Linked DNA regions of Sus scrofa. The protein of the gene in region 1 interacts with the protein of each later gene in a biochemical or structural test. Links are inferred from orthologs where the notes say so. Each region holds a gene or a part of one and is shown in the gene's direction. Other genes may lie near its edges.

What was found.
Region 2: of the proteins of DOK1 (region 1) and TEC, one has a biochemical effect on the other in vitro, tested with the Homo sapiens proteins (2 studies listed by BioGRID, with this or other methods). The link is inferred for Sus scrofa from reciprocal best matches to the Homo sapiens genes DOK1 and TEC.
Region 3: the proteins of DOK1 (region 1) and RASA1 form a complex in vitro, tested with the Homo sapiens proteins (2 studies listed by BioGRID, with this or other methods). The link is inferred for Sus scrofa from reciprocal best matches to the Homo sapiens genes DOK1 and RASA1.
Region 4: the proteins of DOK1 (region 1) and ABL1 form a complex in vitro, tested with the Homo sapiens proteins (5 studies listed by BioGRID, with this or other methods). The link is inferred for Sus scrofa from reciprocal best matches to the Homo sapiens genes DOK1 and ABL1.
Region 5: of the proteins of DOK1 (region 1) and LYN, one has a biochemical effect on the other in vitro, tested with the Homo sapiens proteins (2 studies listed by BioGRID, with this or other methods). The link is inferred for Sus scrofa from reciprocal best matches to the Homo sapiens genes DOK1 and LYN.

Annotation. Positions count from the first base shown.
Region 1 is NC_010445.4:68,494,548-68,498,727, reverse strand, and holds the start of DOK1 (docking protein 1), read left to right. Parts: upstream 1-1,353; 5' UTR 1,354-1,390; coding exon 1,391-1,450; intron 1,451-1,832; coding exon 1,833-2,132; intron 2,133-2,289; coding exon 2,290-2,383; intron 2,384-2,563; coding exon 2,564-2,748; intron 2,749-2,989; coding exon 2,990-3,802; 3' UTR 3,803-4,180. UniProt on the Homo sapiens protein: DOK proteins are enzymatically inert adaptor or scaffolding proteins. They provide a docking platform for the assembly of multimolecular signaling complexes. DOK1 appears to be a negative regulator of the insulin signaling pathway.
Region 2 is NC_010450.4:38,078,868-38,082,411, reverse strand, and holds part of TEC (tyrosine-protein kinase Tec), read left to right. Parts: intron 1-2,338; coding exon 2,339-2,385; intron 2,386-3,317; coding exon 3,318-3,490; intron 3,491-3,544.
Region 3 is NC_010444.4:94,973,575-94,977,118, forward strand, and holds part of RASA1 (ras GTPase-activating protein 1), read left to right. Parts: intron 1-858; coding exon 859-1,031; intron 1,032-1,356; coding exon 1,357-1,516; intron 1,517-3,517; coding exon 3,518-3,544. UniProt on the Homo sapiens protein: Inhibitory regulator of the Ras-cyclic AMP pathway. Stimulates the GTPase of normal but not oncogenic Ras p21; this stimulation may be further increased in the presence of NCK1.
Region 4 is NC_010443.5:270,897,601-270,901,144, forward strand, and holds part of ABL1 (tyrosine-protein kinase ABL1), read left to right. Parts: intron 1-144; coding exon 145-297; intron 298-2,087; coding exon 2,088-2,177; intron 2,178-2,503; coding exon 2,504-2,668; intron 2,669-3,544. UniProt on the Homo sapiens protein: Non-receptor tyrosine-protein kinase that plays a role in many key processes linked to cell growth and survival such as cytoskeleton remodeling in response to extracellular stimuli, cell motility and adhesion, receptor endocytosis, autophagy, DNA damage response and apoptosis.
Region 5 is NC_010446.5:75,794,975-75,797,224, reverse strand, and holds part of LYN (tyrosine-protein kinase Lyn), read left to right. Parts: intron 1-152; coding exon 153-355; 3' UTR 356-2,250. UniProt on the Homo sapiens protein: Non-receptor tyrosine-protein kinase that transmits signals from cell surface receptors and plays an important role in the regulation of innate and adaptive immune responses, hematopoiesis, responses to growth factors and cytokines, integrin signaling, but also responses to DNA damage and genotoxic agents.

The DNA of each region.
Region 1 (4,180 bases):
TCTGGCCAACACCGCCACCGCCATCACCGGGCAACCGGAGGCGAGGGCACCAATCAGTTTCTCAGCCAAGGCCTTTCCTTCCGTGTGGAGCGGAGAACAGCCCCTCTACAGGGAGCTCCCCCCACCCCCAACATGCTTCCCCCAACTCAGACAAACAACCCAACAAGACAGCTTTGTTCGGGCACATCTTGGCTTGGGGACCCAGGGATGGGGCCTCACAGAGGAGCCCCCAGCCTCAGGGCCCTCCCGGCTGCCCTATTTGGAACACCCTGTACCCCACCCCCCAATACCTGCTTCCTTTCTCCACTTTCCTCCTGCCTTCCTCTTCTTTGACAAAAATAGAGCCCTCAGTAGGTTGGCTTCCCTTTGATTCTATCCCACATCACGCCTTTCCCCTGCTCCTTCCACCATCCTCTCCATCCGCAACTCCCCTTCATCCTGCCGGCAGCCTGACTCCCCCTACCTTGGCCTGAGCGGGGCTCTAGCGGCTGGGAGAAGAGTCCTGGTCCTGGAGATCAGTCCTAGGACTTCCAAAAAAAGTGCTCTGCCAGGGGAGACTGGATCCCCCCCTTTTCTCCCCCCTCTCCTTTCGTTCCTCCCAAGTCCCCCTGGGCCCTCCCACATTCCGCCTTCTCCCTTGATCCCTCGCAGGCCAGTTCCCTCCTCTTCTCTCCCCCTCCTCCTTGGAGAGCTGGCCGCTGCTGTTGCTCCACCTCCCTCCCGCCCTCCTCCCCGCCCCTCCCAGTCTGTTTAATAAAGCTTTCTTTTCCCGGGGGTTGGATGCTGGGCAGCTGCGGCCGGGAGAGCTGGGCACATGAGGGGCCGCGGGGCCGCAGGCCGTCGCGGGCTGCGTGCCGTGCGGGGATCTCCGCTCCGGGAAGTCTTCCAGTCCCCAGCCCTTCCCCACATCCCCAGCTCTGCCGGTCGTAAACAGCACATCTCGGACCTAGCTGGAGATGGGTCCCATCGGAGGAATTGTGGCCACGAGGGCCCACGTGGTTACTCCGGTGCCCCAGTGTGCCCTTTGGCATTTTTCGAGGTGATTTCACGGCCTTCATTCCGAAGTCAAGTTGAGCATCTGAGGTCGCACAGTCCCCAAGCCCAGGTGCCAGAACTTTCTGATGGAAACCACGAGTTTTCTCTTGAGAGAGCCACTTGGTAGAGCCACCCAGGAATAGGGGTAGGGGCCTGGAGGTGGTGCACCGTGCAGCTTCTCTGGTACCCCCTCCCCTTCCTTCTTGCTCCTCTCCTTCCTCCCTTTCGCGGTCCTAGGAGGTCGGGGAGGAGCGGGAACGCCTCCCGCGGGCCCCGCCCCGCCCCGCCCCGCCCTCCGCCCGGCCCCGCCTGGGGCCCGCGGGGCCAGGAAGCGCCGAAGGAACCGCCGGGGGCCATGGACGGGGCCGTGATGGAAGGGCCGCTGTTTTTGCAGAGTCAGCGTTTCGGTACCAAGGTAGTCTGGGCAGGGGTTGTCGAACCCCCCATCAGAGTTAGGGGTGGGCGACTGAGCCCAGGAGGGAGGAGGTGGGCAGCGGGATAGAGCGGAGCGCCGGGAGCCAGAGATCCTGTGACGGTCCCGCTGAAATGTTTTGCACACACTCGGGAGAAGCGTCTGCCGGCCTCCGGGTACGCCGCCTCTGGTCCTGGGGAGACAGAGCGGCATCCTCCTTAGGGAACTTCGCCCGCCGTCGGGAAGCCACAGACCTGAAATGGGCCTGCGCGGGTCCTTCCTTCCCCGTCTGGGCTCGGGTCGCGTCCTTCCTTCCCCGTCGGGCCCGGGCCGCGGGTACTTGCCGGGTCCCTGCCCAGCTTCCCTCGGCTCTCTGTCTCCCCAGAGATGGAGGAAGACCTGGGCGGTGCTCTACCCGGCCAGCCCCCACGGCGTCGCGCGGCTCGAGTTCTTCGACCACAAGGGGCCGAGCTCTGGAGGGGGCCGAGGGGGCTCGCGCCGCCTGGACTGCAAGGTGATCCGTCTGGCAGAGTGTGTGAGCGTGGCCCCGGTGGCCGTGGAGAGCCCCCCTGAGCCTGGCGCCGCAGCCTTCCGCCTGGACACCGCACAGCGCTCCCACCTGCTGGCGGCGGACGCGCCGTCTAGCGTCGCCTGGGTGCAAACGCTGTGCCGAAACGCCTTTCCGGTGAGGGGGCCGGGGTGTTGGTGAGGGTCTGGGGCGAGCTGCCCGGGGCCCAGGAGGCGATGTCGGGTGGGAGCAGTTACAGCTGCAGAGGAACTGGGCGGCCCCGAGCCTGGGAACGGTGTCGAAGGGAATTACAGCCTCTCTCTCTCTACCCCAGAAAGGCAGCTGGGCTCTGGCGCCTGCTGAGAACCCACCCAAGCTTTCTGCCCTGGAGATGCTGGAGAACTCGCTGTATAGCCCCGCCTGGGAAGGTAGTTGCCCAAGAAGCCCCAGCAGGGATGGGGTGGAAAGAATGTCCTTGGGAAGGGAGTGGTTCCTACAAAGGCAAGGAGGAAGCTCCTGAGAGCCGGCTTTCAAACGTGTGCTTGGACAACCTGCCCCTTCCCCGCAAGCCACTCCCGCAGGTGCTAGTCTAACTGTATCCCTTCCAGGATCCCAGTTCTGGGTAACTGCGCAGAGGACTGAAGCCGCCGAGCGCTGTGGCCTGCATGGCTCCTATGTGCTGAGAGTGGAGGCTGAGAAGCTGACTCTCCTGGCCGTGGCGGCCCAGAGTCAGATATTGGAGCCACTCCTTTCCTGGCCCTACACCCTGTTGCGTCGCTATGGCCGCGACAAGGTGCGCTGCCGTCAGGGAGGGCTGGTTCCCTGGGTAGGGCAGCTGTGGGATGGGTGAGGCAGGACAGGAATGTGGGAAGTTCTGCCCTCTGGATAACCCTTTCTGGCCTAGCCCTTGACCCCACCTCCCTTCCCAGGTGGTCTCCTCTCCGTGGGTCCCCTAACTAGTTACAGCCCTGTGACCCACCTCCCCTGAGGACTCTGGGTAATGATTCCCTGATTCCCTCCCCACCCCTCTTCAGGTCATGTTCTCTTTTGAGGCTGGTCGCCGCTGCCCCTCCGGCCCTGGAACCTTCACCTTTCAGACAGCACAGGGGAATGACATCTTTCAGGCAGTGGAGAATGCTATCCACCGGCAGAAGGCCCAGGGAAAGGCTGTCCAGGGGCAGGATGTTCTCAGAGCTGATTCCCATGAAGGAGAAGTGGCGGAGGGGACGTTGGCTTCTCCCCCCGGCCCCCAGGAACTGCCAGGCAACCCTCCAGCTGTGTACGCTGAACCCTTAGACTCCCTGCGCGTTCCTCCACGCCCTTCCCGAGATTCCCTCTACTCAGACCCCCTGGACAGCACTCCTGCTCGGGCAGGGGAGGGGGCACAGTTGAAGAAACCGCTCTATTGGGACTTGTATGAGCATGTGCAGCAGCAGCTGCTGAAGACCAAGTTGACAGATCCCAAAGAAGACCCCATCTACGATGAACCTGAAGGCCTGGCCCCCGCTGCTCTCCGGGGCCTCTACGATCTGCCTCAGGAGCCCAAGGATGCATGGTGGTGCCAGGCTCGGGTGAAGGAGGAGGGCTATGAGCTCCCCTACAATCCCGCCACTGATGACTACGCTGTGCCACCCCCTCGGAACACAAAGCCCTTCCCAGCTCCCAAGCCCCAGGGCCCGGCCTTCTCTGAAGCTCGGGCTGCAACTGGCAGTGGCAGCAAAGGCCACAGCTCAGACACTGCCCTATACAGCCAGGTCCAGAAGAGTGGAGCCTCGGGGAGCTGGGACTGTGGGCTCTCTGGAGTGGGGACTGACAAGATGGGGGTCAAGTCGGAGGACTCAACATGAGAAGGAGGGCGAGGCTGGGGGTGCTGCCAGGAGGTGGCACTGGGGGTCAAAGAAACCTATTAAAACCAGCAGGAACCAGAGGGACATGCGTGAGACCAGGGGACAAAGGGAGTCAAGGGAAAGATCTGTCCCACGAAGTCATGGATGGAAGTGGGACAGGTGGCAGGGCCTCGGGGATGGGATCTGGGGGAGGCCAGCACCTCTAAGTCATCCCCACCAAAGGAAGGCATAGCTGGTGGACCAAGTCTCTGGAAAGGGGTGTTTGGTCTGAGTAGATGCAGTTTGAGGGGCCTGGATGGGCTACAGGGAGACACTGGGCTGTGTCTGGATCCTTCTCCCTGCGTTGTTCTTTGCCAGAGATATATTTTTAAAAAAGTT
Region 2 (3,544 bases), on another chromosome or scaffold:
TTTTATTTTATTTTTTGCTATTTCTTTGGGCCGCTTCCACGGCATATGGAGGTTCCCAGGCTAGGGTTCTAATCAGAGCCATAGCCGCCGGCCTACGCTAGAGCCACAGCAACTCGGGATCTGAGCCGCATCTGCAACCTACACCACAGCTCACGGCAACGCCGGCTCCTTAACCCACTGAGCAAGGGCAGGGATCGAACCTGCAACCTCATGGTTCCTAGTCGGATTCATTAACCGCTGCGCCACAATGGGAACTCCTGCTTTTATTTTATTTTTAATTTTTTAAAGTTTTATTGAAGTATAGTTAATTTATAAAGTAAAGCATACAACACTTCACTTCTGCTGTACAACAAAGTGACCCAGTTCTATACATATACACATATCCATTCTCTCTCACATTCTTTTCCCACATAGATTATCACAGAATACTGGCTAGAGTTCTCTGGGCCATGCAACAGGTCCCCGTTGGCTAATCATTCCATAGACCTCAGTGTGCCTATGCCCATCCCAAACCCCCAGTCCATCCCTCCCACCCCCCAACCTGTTCTCTTTGCTAACCATAAGTTTTTCAAAGTCTGTGCATCATCTCTTTCTGTTCTGCAAATAAGTTCACTTGTATCTTTTTTTTTTTTTTTGGCCCATTTTTAGGGCTGCACCCAAGGCATATGGAGGTTCCCAGGCTAAGGGTCGAATTGGAGCTGTAGCCACTGGCCTACGCCACAGCCACAGCAACTTGGGACCCGAGCCTCGTCTGCGATCTACACCACAGCTCACAGCAACACCAGATTCTTAACCCATTGAGAGAGGCCAGGGCTCAAACCCAAGTCGTCATGTATACTAGGTAGTTTCGTTAACCACTGAGCCACGATGGAAACGCCCTCATTTGTATCCTTTTTTAAAGATTCCACATATAGGTGATATCATGTGATGTTTGTCTTTTACTGTCTGACTAACTTCATTTAGTCTGATGGTTTCTAGGACCATCCATGTTGCTGCAAATGGCATTATTTCTTTCTTTTTTATGGCTGAATAATATTCCGTAGTATATATGTACCACATCTTCTTTATCCGTTTCTCTGTTGATGGACATTTAGGTTGCTTCCATGTCTTGGCTCTTGTAAATAGCACTGCAATGAATTTTGGGGTACATGTATCTTTTTGAATTATTTCCTTCTTTTTCTAAGGCTAGTATTCTGTTGTATATATGTACCACATCTTCTCTGTTTATCTGTTGATGGACGCGTAGGTTGTGTCCATACCTTGGCTATTGTGAAGAGTGCTGCAGTGAACATGGGATTGCAGATAGCTCTTTAAGCTACTGATTTCACTTCCATTGTGTGTATACCCAGACATTGCTAAATCATACGGTGGTTCTATTTTTAATTTTTAGAGGAACCTCCCTATTATTTTATGTAGTGGTTGCACCAATTTACATTCCTACCAACAGTGAACAAGGGTTCCCTTTTCTCCACATGCTCACTGGCATTTGTTATCATGTGTGTTTTTTATAAGCATCATCCTAATACAAATGAGGTGATATCTTTTTGTAGTTTTGATTTGCATTTCCCTGTGATTAGTGATGTCGAGCACTTTTTAATGTACCTGTTGGCCATCTGTACGTCTTCTTTTAAAAAGCGTGTGTTTAGGTCCTTTGTCCTTTTTTGAGTTGTTTGTTTTACTGTTGAGTTGTACAAGTTCCTTGTATATTTTGGATATTAACCTCTTATCAGATATAGATAAGGTTTGCAAACATTTTCTCCCTTTCTATAGGCTGTCTTTTCATTTTGTCGATGGTTTCCTTTACGTAGCAGAAGCTCTTTGGTTTGATGTAGTCCCATTGGTTTGTAATGAATAAGACATGGCCTCAGTCCCTATGGTATTTATAATCTGTTCAAGAAGGCAGAAATACAAACCGATTTTAGTAGTATTTTAAGATTCTGGGGAGTTCCCATTGTGGTGCAGTGGAAACAAATCCAACTAGTATCCATGAGGATAACACTTTGATCCCCAGCCTTGCTCAGTGGGTTAAGGATCCAGCATTGCTGTGAGCTGTGGTGTAGGTTGCAGATGTGACTTGGATCCGGTGTTACTATGGCTGTGGTATAGGCCAACAGCTGCAATTCTGATTCCACCCTTAGCCTGGGAACTTCCATATGCCATGGGTACAGCCCTAAAAAGCAAAAAGGAAAAAAAAAAAAAAAAAAGGAAAAAAAAGATTCTGTTCGAAAATAGTGCAACGTGGACCTCTTGTTTTGGGTTCACATTTACTTTTCCTTAAGACTTTCAATTATTGGTAGGTGGCGTTTTGACATTTTTTGATCTTAATTATTATTTTCAGGTATAAGAAAAGCACTACCTCCAGCACCAGCACCAGAAAAAAAGAAGGTAAAGTGGTCTTTAATGTTCAGAAGCATTTGCAGTTGATTAAGAACATTTATATTCATTTGTGTGATGCTGCCCCTCTGCAAAGATCGTATCAGAAATGGATAGACTGTGGCTTACTTGATTTTTATCTTGATGTCAAACTATATCATTTAATTGAATCAGATATTATCATTGGGGGCCCTCTTATCATCTGACAGTTTGATTGTATCTTAGATTCAAGAGTTGCATAAGATGTGTGGGACTTTAAAGGAATATTTCAATCTTAAGACCACAGTATTATGACAAGGGAGTGCAGTCAGTGATTTAATGATGTCCCTTTGAATAGTGAGCTATCGTGGAAAACACATGTGCTTTGGACTCAGAGAGAAGCTGGTTCAATGTAAATCTGATATGAGTGACTTTGGGTAGGTTACTTAAACCACTGTTTTTTCCGTTGTAAAGTGAGAGTTGCATACTCTACCTCATGGGATCGGAATTGAGAGTAAATGAGAAAAAGTGTGCTAGGTACTAAGAGTGTACCTTGCACATAGTAGGTGCAAAGAAGTGAAAATCCCTTTGTGCAGGAGGAGACCTGATGCAAGACTATGCCATAGTGCCCCTTTCCCCAGCTCTGGCCATTAAATGCTGGGGTTGCCTTGAGTCCTCCCAGTTTGTAGTCACATGTTACCCTTGCCTCTCCCTGGAAAACCTGCCCTGACACTGAGCAGAAGCCTCCTGATGTTTAAAGACAGCTTTTGCCCTTGTCCTATATTCTGAAACCCATGAGCAGCCCAGTAGCATCAACATCATTTAACTCATTGGGGGGGGGGGGGGGGATTCACCAGATTGTCTTAGACTCGATTCTCTGGTGATGTGCATATCAGTTAGTGTTTTACCTCGCATCTGATTTCAAACAGAAGACTAAATTCTCACATGGTATCTCCTATCCTTAGCGAAGGCCTCCCCCACCAATTCCACCCGAAGAAGATAATAGTGAAGAAATCGTGGTAGCCATGTATGACTTCCAAGCAACGGAAGCACATGATCTCAGATTAGAGAGAGGCCAGGAGTATATCATCCTAGAAAAGAATGATGTTCACTGGTGGAGAGCAAGAGATAAATATGGGTGAGTATTCCCTCTCTGTGGATGGTACACAGTGGATGGCCCAGAGTTCAATAC
Region 3 (3,544 bases), on another chromosome or scaffold:
GGACAAGTGATTCAGTTATACATATGCACACATCTATCCTTTTCCAGATTCTATACCAGCTTTCTTACAGCTCTTGAATAGTTCATGGTTTTTGTTTTTTTGTTTTTGTCTTTTTAGGGCCAAACCTTTGGCATATGGAGGTTCCCAGGCTAGGAGTCAAATTGGAGCTGCCTCTGCCAGTCTACGCCACAGCCAGAGCAACACCAAATCTGGGCTGCATATGCGATCTGTATGCCACAGCTCATGGCAATGCCGGACCCTTAACCCACCGAGCAAGGCCAGGGATTGAATCCGTTTCCTCATAGATGCTAGTCAGATTCTTTACCGCTGAACCGCAATGGGAACTCCTAGTCCATGGATAAAAGCATCCACAATACCATCTATTCAGATTATGCACATACTCTCTTTTTTCCAGTACATTTCTACTTAGCTTTATCTCCAGATCCTGTTGTAAGTCAACCTGAGGGGTACCTGTGTGAAAGGGGTTTTAGCCTCCACAGGCTGAATTAGATATTATTTCTCTGTACTTCATTCACATTAACCATTGTTAATAGCCCTTCTCACATTGTAATTGATTTCTTGCCTCCTTGGCTAGACTCTGATTTCCATATAAGTCAGAGAGTGTGTTTTAATAAAGTCTGTATCCCACATCCCTGCCTCTCAGAGACTATGGCACATAATAGGCATTCGGTAAATGAATGAAGTAAACATTAAGTACTGAATTTATCATATTATTGGAAACCCCTTTAACGGAAAGCATTTAACATTATTGAGAAGATGGAATGTTAGGAAAATTTGCGTGACTAATTACGGTGTCATCTTTTTAGACAGTAATCATTTCATGTTTTTCTATCAAAGTATTTATGCGCTGCCAATTGAGCCGGTTACAGAAAGGGCATGCCACAGATGAATGGTTTTTGCTCAGCTCCCATATACCATTAAAAGGTATTGAACCAGGATCTCTGCGTGTCCGAGCACGATATTCTATGGAAAAAATCATGCCAGAAGAAGAATACAGCGAATTTAAAGAGGTATTAAAGTTATTTACTAGTCTAATTGTTTTTAATGGCATTAGCAAGAAATACTTTTAATGAAAGATCCATTGAGTTAAATGTAGTAATTTCATAGTTTAATGGCACACTGACAGGCAGAGAAGGTTAAAAAGCCGTGCAGCAGTATGCTATTGGTCTTAAGAGACTATAAATATGTAGCTTACAAACTCATTCTATTTTTAATACATTTATTCAATAGAACATATTCCTAAATATAAGAATGTATAAAAACATAATTTCCTGTTAATCTGAGAATGCTTAATGCTCTCTTACTTTCAATTATTTTTCCTGATGTCATTTTTAGCTTATACTGCAAAAGGAGCTTCATGTAGTCAATGCTTTATCACATGTATGTGGACAGGATCGAACACTACTGGCTAGCATCCTACTGAGGATTTTTCTTCATGAAAAGCTTGAATCCTTGTTGTTATGTACACTAAATGACAGAGAAATAAGCATGGAAGGTATAGTATGGATGTGTTTCTGTGATACTTTTAAAAATTGGATTAATAGGTTTTATATATATCAAGTATATACAGACTCCATCTTAGACTATATTAAATAGTTAAATTATCTTACAAAGTAAGTTACTGTTTTTCCTTCTTTAAAAATTACAGTTGGAATGTCATTTCTGATTCTTTATGCTGGCTAATGGGGAGCAGCTATTATTTCTTTTTCTTTTTTGTCTTTTCTAGGGCTACACCCTCAGAATATGGAGGTTTCCAGGCTAGGGGTCTAATTGGAGCTGTAGCTGCCGGCCTATGCCAGAGCCACAGCGACGTGGGATACGAGCCGCGTCTGTGACGTACTCCACAGCTCACGGCAACACCAGATCCTTAACCCACTGAGCGAGGCCAGGGATCGAACCCACAACCTCATGGTTCCTAGTCAGATTCGTTAACTACTGAGCCACCACAGGAACTGCTGTTAGTATTTCAAATACAAGTTTCTGTCATGGCAAATTAGTATTAGGTGCTATAAGAAAGTGACTTCCATGTCCAGATCAATGGTTCACAGTGCTTGATTATTAAGAAGTTTGGCTATTTCCATATTCTCTTGTTTATTTTTCATTTAAAAATTCATTGTACAAGTTAGGTGTCTGCATTTTATTTCTAGCTTCTATGATAGGTAGTTCTAGGCAGTATAGCTGGACACGATCTTTGTAACAGCTTATAAATATGTTATAAAAAGGGATTTACAACCAGCACTTTGACTCAGTAATAGTCCTTGCTTCTGGATTCCCCAAATAAACTGTAATACCCAGAACTATTTCCTCCTAGTCATAAAAAAATGTAAAAATATATATATTTGTCAGGAAAGATAAAGTGGTGGTACATGTTTTGCATTAAGATTGTCTTTTCTGGTAATACTTGCATTTTTTAGGATTTTACTAATGTCATTAATAGCTATGCTTAGGCTAATAAGTTAATTTATACTGGGATTTTATTGTGCATTCTTGCTTGGAAATTAGCTCAGATTTTTTTTAAAGCATGAGCTCAGTAGAAAGAAAAAGCTACATTCTGGCGCTAAGTTTTGTCACTATTTGGTTCTTTAGTCCTAGATGATAAGTTATATCACTTTCAAAAGTTTTTGGTTTTTTCTTTTTTTTTTAAGATTAACTTAGAGATTTTATTTTTTATAACTTTTTAGGGCCGCACCTGCAGTAGTATATGGAAGTTCCTAGGCTAGGGGTCAAATTGGAGCTGCAGGTGCTGGCCTGAGCCACAGCCAGGGCAACACAGGATCTGAGCCACATCTGTGACCCACTCTACAGCTTGCGGCAACACCAGATCCTTAAACCACTGAGCAAGGTCAGGGATGGAAACTGCATCCTCATGGATACAGGTCTGATTCTTAACCCACTGAGCGACAACAGGAACTCCAACTCTTTGTTTTGTGATATGAACATGGCAGTGTTAATTCCTCTCCTGTTTATGATCTAATGAAGATTAAGAATTTATTTATTTATTTATTTATTTATTGTCTTTTTAGGGCCGGACCCGTGGCATATAGAGGTTCCCAGGCTAAGGGTCAAATCAGAGCTATAGCCGCTGGCCTACACCACAGCCACAGCAACGTGGGATCCGAACTGCATCTACTACCTAAACCATAGCTCATGGAATTGCCAGATCCTTAACCCACTGACTGAGGCCAGGGATTGAACCTGTGTCCTCATGGGTGCTAGTCAGATTCATTCCTCTGAGCCACGATGGGAACTCCAAGAATTAATTCTTTATCTTAATTCATTATTTAAGATTTAATTAAGAATTAAGGATAAATTATGATCTTTTAAAGAATTATGTTTATAGAAATATAGAATGTCAGTATAATCAATACTTTATTGCTGATTGCAAATAAGCATGTTTAAATGATAATTGGTTGAGGAAAAATGAATTGATTTAATTTTCAATTTGGTTCACATTAATACAATCCTTTACAAACAATCTTTTAATATATTTATGTAGATGAAGCCACTACTCTATTTCGAGCCA
Region 4 (3,544 bases), on another chromosome or scaffold:
GTAGAGCCTCGTGAAGTGTCCGTGCCTGGCCTGCTTCTGAGGGCGTGGCTTCTGACGTCTGCGGCGCGGTTTCCTGCTTTCCAGTGCACGGTGGTTAAAGCTCCCACATCTTGAGCTGTCTTGCTCTTGCTCTTTGTCTTTTAGCGTTTGGAGTCTTGCTTTGGGAAATTGCCACCTACGGCATGTCACCTTACCCAGGAATTGACCTGTCCCAGGTGTATGAGCTGCTAGAGAAAGACTACCGCATGGAGCGCCCGGAAGGCTGCCCGGAGAAGGTCTACGAACTCATGCGAGCATGTGAGCCTCCCTTTGGGAAGGGAAGCGTGGGACTTCCCCAGGTCGGGGGGCGTTGAGGAGACCCGGGCAGGGCGAGGCCAAAGCGCTCGCTTGCTTCCTCTCCTTCCCTCCTTCAGAAACAACTCGTGTGACAGTTTGGCGCATAGCATTGTACCTTTTCCAGTGTGTCTGTGCACCTTTAGTTTTACATAGTATTTATATGTGAGGGTCTTTTGTTTGTTCTTAATGCAAAAGTGACGTGGATGGATACCAAACCTGGGTTTCTTATTAATAAATATAAATTGCTGGTATAGTAGGTAAATATTCCAGGTGATTTTCATCCACTCGGTTTTGGTGGTGGTTTAATTTATTTTAGGGCCTCAAGTGAGGCCCACGGAAATTCCCAGGTTAGGGGTCAAGTCAGAGCTACAGCTGCCAGCCTGCACCTCAGCCACACAATGCCAGATCCGAGCTGCATCTACAACCTATACCACAGCTCACAGCAGTGCCGGCTCCTTAACCCACTGAGCGGGGTCAGGGATTGAACCCATATCCTCATGGATACCAGTCAGGTTCATTTCCACTGAGCCACAATGTGAACTCCTGTCCACTCAGTTTTTAATTTATTAATATGTATATATATGTGTGTATGTATATATAAAAATTCATTCCTTCAACTTTTTTTTTTTTTGGTCTTTTTAGGGCCACACCTCTGGCACATGGAGGTTCCCAAGCTGGGGGTTTGAATCTGAGCTGTAGCTTCCGGCCTACACCACAGCCACAGCAACATGGGATCCTAGCCGTGTCTGCGACCTACACCACAGCTCATGGCAATGCCAGATCCTTAACCCACTGAGCGGGGTCAGGGATTGAACCCATATCCTCATGGATACCAGTCGGGTTCATTTCCATGGAGCCACAATGGGGACTCCTGTCCACTCGGCTTTTGATGTATTTATGTGTACGTATATGTGTGTATGTATGATAAAAACTCACTTCTTCAGCCTTTTTGCACTTGGCAGTGTAGCGGGCGTCTCTTTCCACGCCCATGATTTCCCGTGCTCTTCCCCTTCTCCTTCACCCACTCTTATCTTCACGTAGCTGCCCAGCACCTATTGCGTAATTTATTCATTCATCCCATCCTCCTTTGATGGACATGTGTTTGCTGTATACATTTGTTTGTTTTTTGCTCTTACGGACAAGGCAGGAACCAGTTCCCTCGTAGATACGTATGCCTCTGCGCATTCTGGTGTCTTGCAGAAGTTGAACCTGTAGTTCAGGGGGCTCTGTGCATTTTAAAATGTTGATAGGTGTTACCAAATTGTTTTGTAAAAAAGGTTATATTAGTTTATACTCCCAACAGAAGTCTGTAAGGGGGACGCTACAGCCTCGCCTACACTGGGCTGCGTCGGTCCTTAATCTCCTTTTCGTCTTGTTTTAAGGAGCATGTCTTTACTGATGAGGAATTCAGACTTTGGTGACTGCGAGGAAAGGTTAGGACAGGAAGCAAGCTATTTGGTTTAGTGATTCTCTGCACTTGCTAGAGGCGGGTTGGGAAAAACATCTTTGTAAATGTACTTGTTGCTGTCCTGTGTTATAATCCGCATTCCCGCCCGTACCCAACGTCGTCTCAGATTCCCGGGGTCTGTAATAGGACTCAGTGGCAGTCGTCACTTTAACTTGTCACAGCACAAGATGGCCAGCGGGACCGGAATGCTTCTTCAGTTTCTCGACTTTGCCTTGAGGATTGCTAGTCTTCCTCTTGTTCGCAAAGCCTCACGGGTGGTCCGGCTTGGGTCTCATCTGTCTAGGTTGGCAGTGGAATCCCTCTGACCGGCCCTCCTTTGCGGAAATCCACCAAGCCTTTGAAACAATGTTCCAGGAATCCAGCATATCAGATGGTAATGTGCCCGTCCTTGGGGTGCCTGCAGTGGGGGGAGAGGGTGGGGTGGGAGGGAGGGCCGGGCGGGACTCCAGCCCGGTCCTTCAGTCCCTCCTGGTCGAGAGCACGGGCCAGCGGTCAAGCTGCTGAGTGTGGCCCTCTGTCTTTGGCAGCCAGGACTCTGAAGTCTGCTCCGGTGCTGCTTTTTCGGGATGTGTGTCTCTTCTCTGTAACTGTGTATAGATGACTACTGCTGTCTTAAAAAGAAAAGGAAAACCAGCATACCAAAAGGACATCAATACTGATGACTCCTGGTTTTGTTATTGATTTTTCGGTGGTTCTTAGAAGTGGAAAAGGAGCTGGGGAAGAAAGGCATGCGAGGGGCCGCGAGCCCTCTGCTGCAGGCCCCGGAACTGCCCACCAAGACCAGGACCGCCAGGAGAGCCGCCGAACACAAAGACGCCCCAGACGTGCCCGAGACGCCCCACTCCAAGGGCCCGGGAGAGACGGGTATGTCCCCACCCCCGCCAGAGCCCAGGGCAGCTGGCCCCGGAGCCGGGTGCCGGTGCAGGCAGATGGGAAGCAGGGAGCGGAACCTGCACAGAAGGGCAAGTGGACCCCACGTTAGTGGCCCAGCTTCAAAAAGAGGAAGATCCTTCTTCTCCCACAGTAAAGCGCTCCCTCTGCAAATCATTCAGGAGCCACTGGCTGTGGCTGTTAGTCTAGTCACACAGGCAGAGGTGCTTATGAAACATACTAAGAGCGAACACACCCTTTCATGTGTTAGTCACAGCATTGGTGGCTGCTCTTTCAGAGCAGATGCAGCAATAATAAATACTGAACCAAACAAAGAGCAGCTTGTTGCGAAAGCAGCAAAGCGAGAAGCTCCCTGGAACTGACAGAGCCAGGAGACACCTGTGGCAGAGCTGGTGTCCTCTCGTCTGAGAGGAGGCTCCTTCTGGGGCTGCTCCCTAGACCCACGGCGAGGGCGTGGGAGCCGTTCGGGAGGGTCCTAGGATGTTACCAGGAACAGCATTCGAAAGTGTGGGTCCGATGCTTCCTTTGCGCCAGGCGTGACGCTGGGTTAGGCCGCTCCGATTCAGCCCCGACAGGAAAGGAAATTGGGAGGTCTGGGTTCCCGTCAGGCCAATGAATGGACACGCCCGAGGTGGACCAGGCGCCTGGGTGGGTAGCAGCTCCTTGGGGATGCTCTGACGGACCACACCCGGGGGAAGGGGAAGGGACAGGGCAGGGCTGTGGGGTGTCTAGCCACAGCAGAGTCTGTAGACCCCCATGATGCCCAGCTTTGTCATCATGTACCTCTGTTAATGTTTTAAAGTTGAGGGAATTGGGAGTTCCCGTCGTGGCGCAGTGGTTAACGAATCC
Region 5 (2,250 bases), on another chromosome or scaffold:
CCTGGGGGCGAGGACGGCAGGGGAGGGGGCGGCGGGAACACAGTCAGCCCACAGCAGTCTCCAGAGCGCATCCAGGCTGGATGCAGGGTGCGGGTACCAGGCCTCGCGGAGCTCGGGCAGCTCTCTAAACGCCGTGGGTTTCTCTGCCTCAGGGAGAACTAACGCGGACGTGATGGCCGCCCTGTCGCAGGGCTACAGGATGCCCCGTATGGAGAACTGCCCCGATGAGCTCTATGACATCATGAAGATGTGCTGGAAAGAGAAGGCGGAGGAGAGGCCCACCTTCGACTACCTGCAGAGCGTCCTGGACGACTTCTACACGGCCACCGAGGGCCAGTACCAGCAGCAGCCCTAGCGCGGGGACTCGGCCACTCCCGGGATGGCGGCCTCCTCCACCAGGAACAGAGAGCAGCCCCTGGTCCTCGGTTCATTTCCTGAGCTGGGGGCACCTGCCGTCCCTGCTTCCCGCACGTGAGGTGAAGCTACTCAGGAAGAACTCTCTCCACGGGAAAGGATTCTCCTCTCGGGCCAGGGCCTGCCAGGGTGCCCCCCGAGAGCAGACTGGCTCGGCTGGACCCACATCTGGGCACAGGCTTCTGAGGAGAAAGCACCAGACCCACCCAAGGGCGCCCCGGTCAGCTCTTGTTGACAAGAGGCTGTGCCCCCACCCAGGTTCAGAGACCCGTCCAGTAAACCCCCGTTAGGAGAGAACTAAACTCACTGATCAGCATCAAATAACCTGATACCTTTTATGACACTTTTTTGTATTTTCTCTGTGCTTTAGCTTATGTGTTAAAAACAAAAAATTACTAATCTCTGTTAGAGTTTGCAAAAGTGACGTCCGGAGCTTTGGTGTCTTTCCCAGATCTCAGTCCGAGACTGTTAAACGTTGCCCATGGCAGAGACCAGCCTGGAACCCCAGCCGGGAAGAAGCGTCCTCTGCAAGTGGGCAGGGCTGCCGTGCTAAGTGACACGGGCGCCCCCACCCCCCACCCCAAGCCACTGGGGCCTCTGCCCAGACCCCCATGACCCTGTCCCGGAAAAGAGCTGCAGAAACTACTCGGCCGTTAAGAAGAAAGATTTTTAAAGGTCCAGCTTTTCAATTCCACACTTTTCCGTATATGGACTTTTTTGGACCATGTAGTTTGGAAAATTTTAATCCCTGCAGAACATTCTAGGACCTTACAAAACATGAGCATTTTCTTTATTGCTTCCAGTGATTTTGAACATTATTTTAATGATCAAATATTAATTTTAGTCATACTCTAGAAAGTCAACGTGCCATATTTGGGGGCACTTTTGTGATTCAGCAATCTTTTCTAAATTGTGTGACGTGTATGTGAGACTATTTATATGAGGAAATGAAGGGAAAGAAATGAGTAGGGGGCTCGTTACCGAGCCCCTGGAGCAGGGACCACGAGAGGTTTTTCTATTACATTTTTCTACTCTAAGCTTTGAATGGAGATGCTCTGTCACATGTTCCACTTATGCTTTGTGTATATACCTAATATTTCTATTTTTGATTTTATTTTAATACACCTGGCCCAATAACATCTCAAGCTTCTCATTGGTGTTGAGTATTTCCAATGGTTATCTATGTCAAAATGAGTACCAATTAGGGGGTGATTCCACTAGTTACATCACTGAAAAAAATTTGTACAAGTTCTGGGAGTTCCCATTGTGGTGCAATAGAAACAAACCTGACTAGCCTCCATGAGGATGCGGGTTCAATCCCTGGCCTCACTCAGTGGGTTAAGGATCCAGCATTGTCCTGAGCTATGGTCTGGCTGGCGGCTGTAGCTCCGATTTGACCCCTAGCCTGGGAAACTCCATATGCCGTTGTGCAGCCCTAAAAAAAAAAAAAAAAAAAAAAAAAAAAAAAAATTTGTGCAAATTCTGTCTCCATCCCTCAGGTGTTTTCAGATTAGAGAACTGAAGACTTGATGGCCTGCACACCCGGCCATCCCTTTCTAAGGGCCAAACAGGATTTGTTTTCAAAGAGGCTTAGTGGGCACCATTGTAATTTAATTTTATATGTGCTGCCTGGGTGTTGGGTACCTGGGAGAGGGATGAAATTTTCTGCTTTTTCCTAAATTTGGACTTCTTTTCCCATGTGATTTTTTTTTTAAAAGGCCTTTTCTAAAATATTCTAAAATTCTCCATTCTCCAGAGCCATCTTCACAATGGTAAACTTATCATCATATAACGTCTGCACAGCTGGTCACCTGACTCTCAACAGTGTGCTTTCAA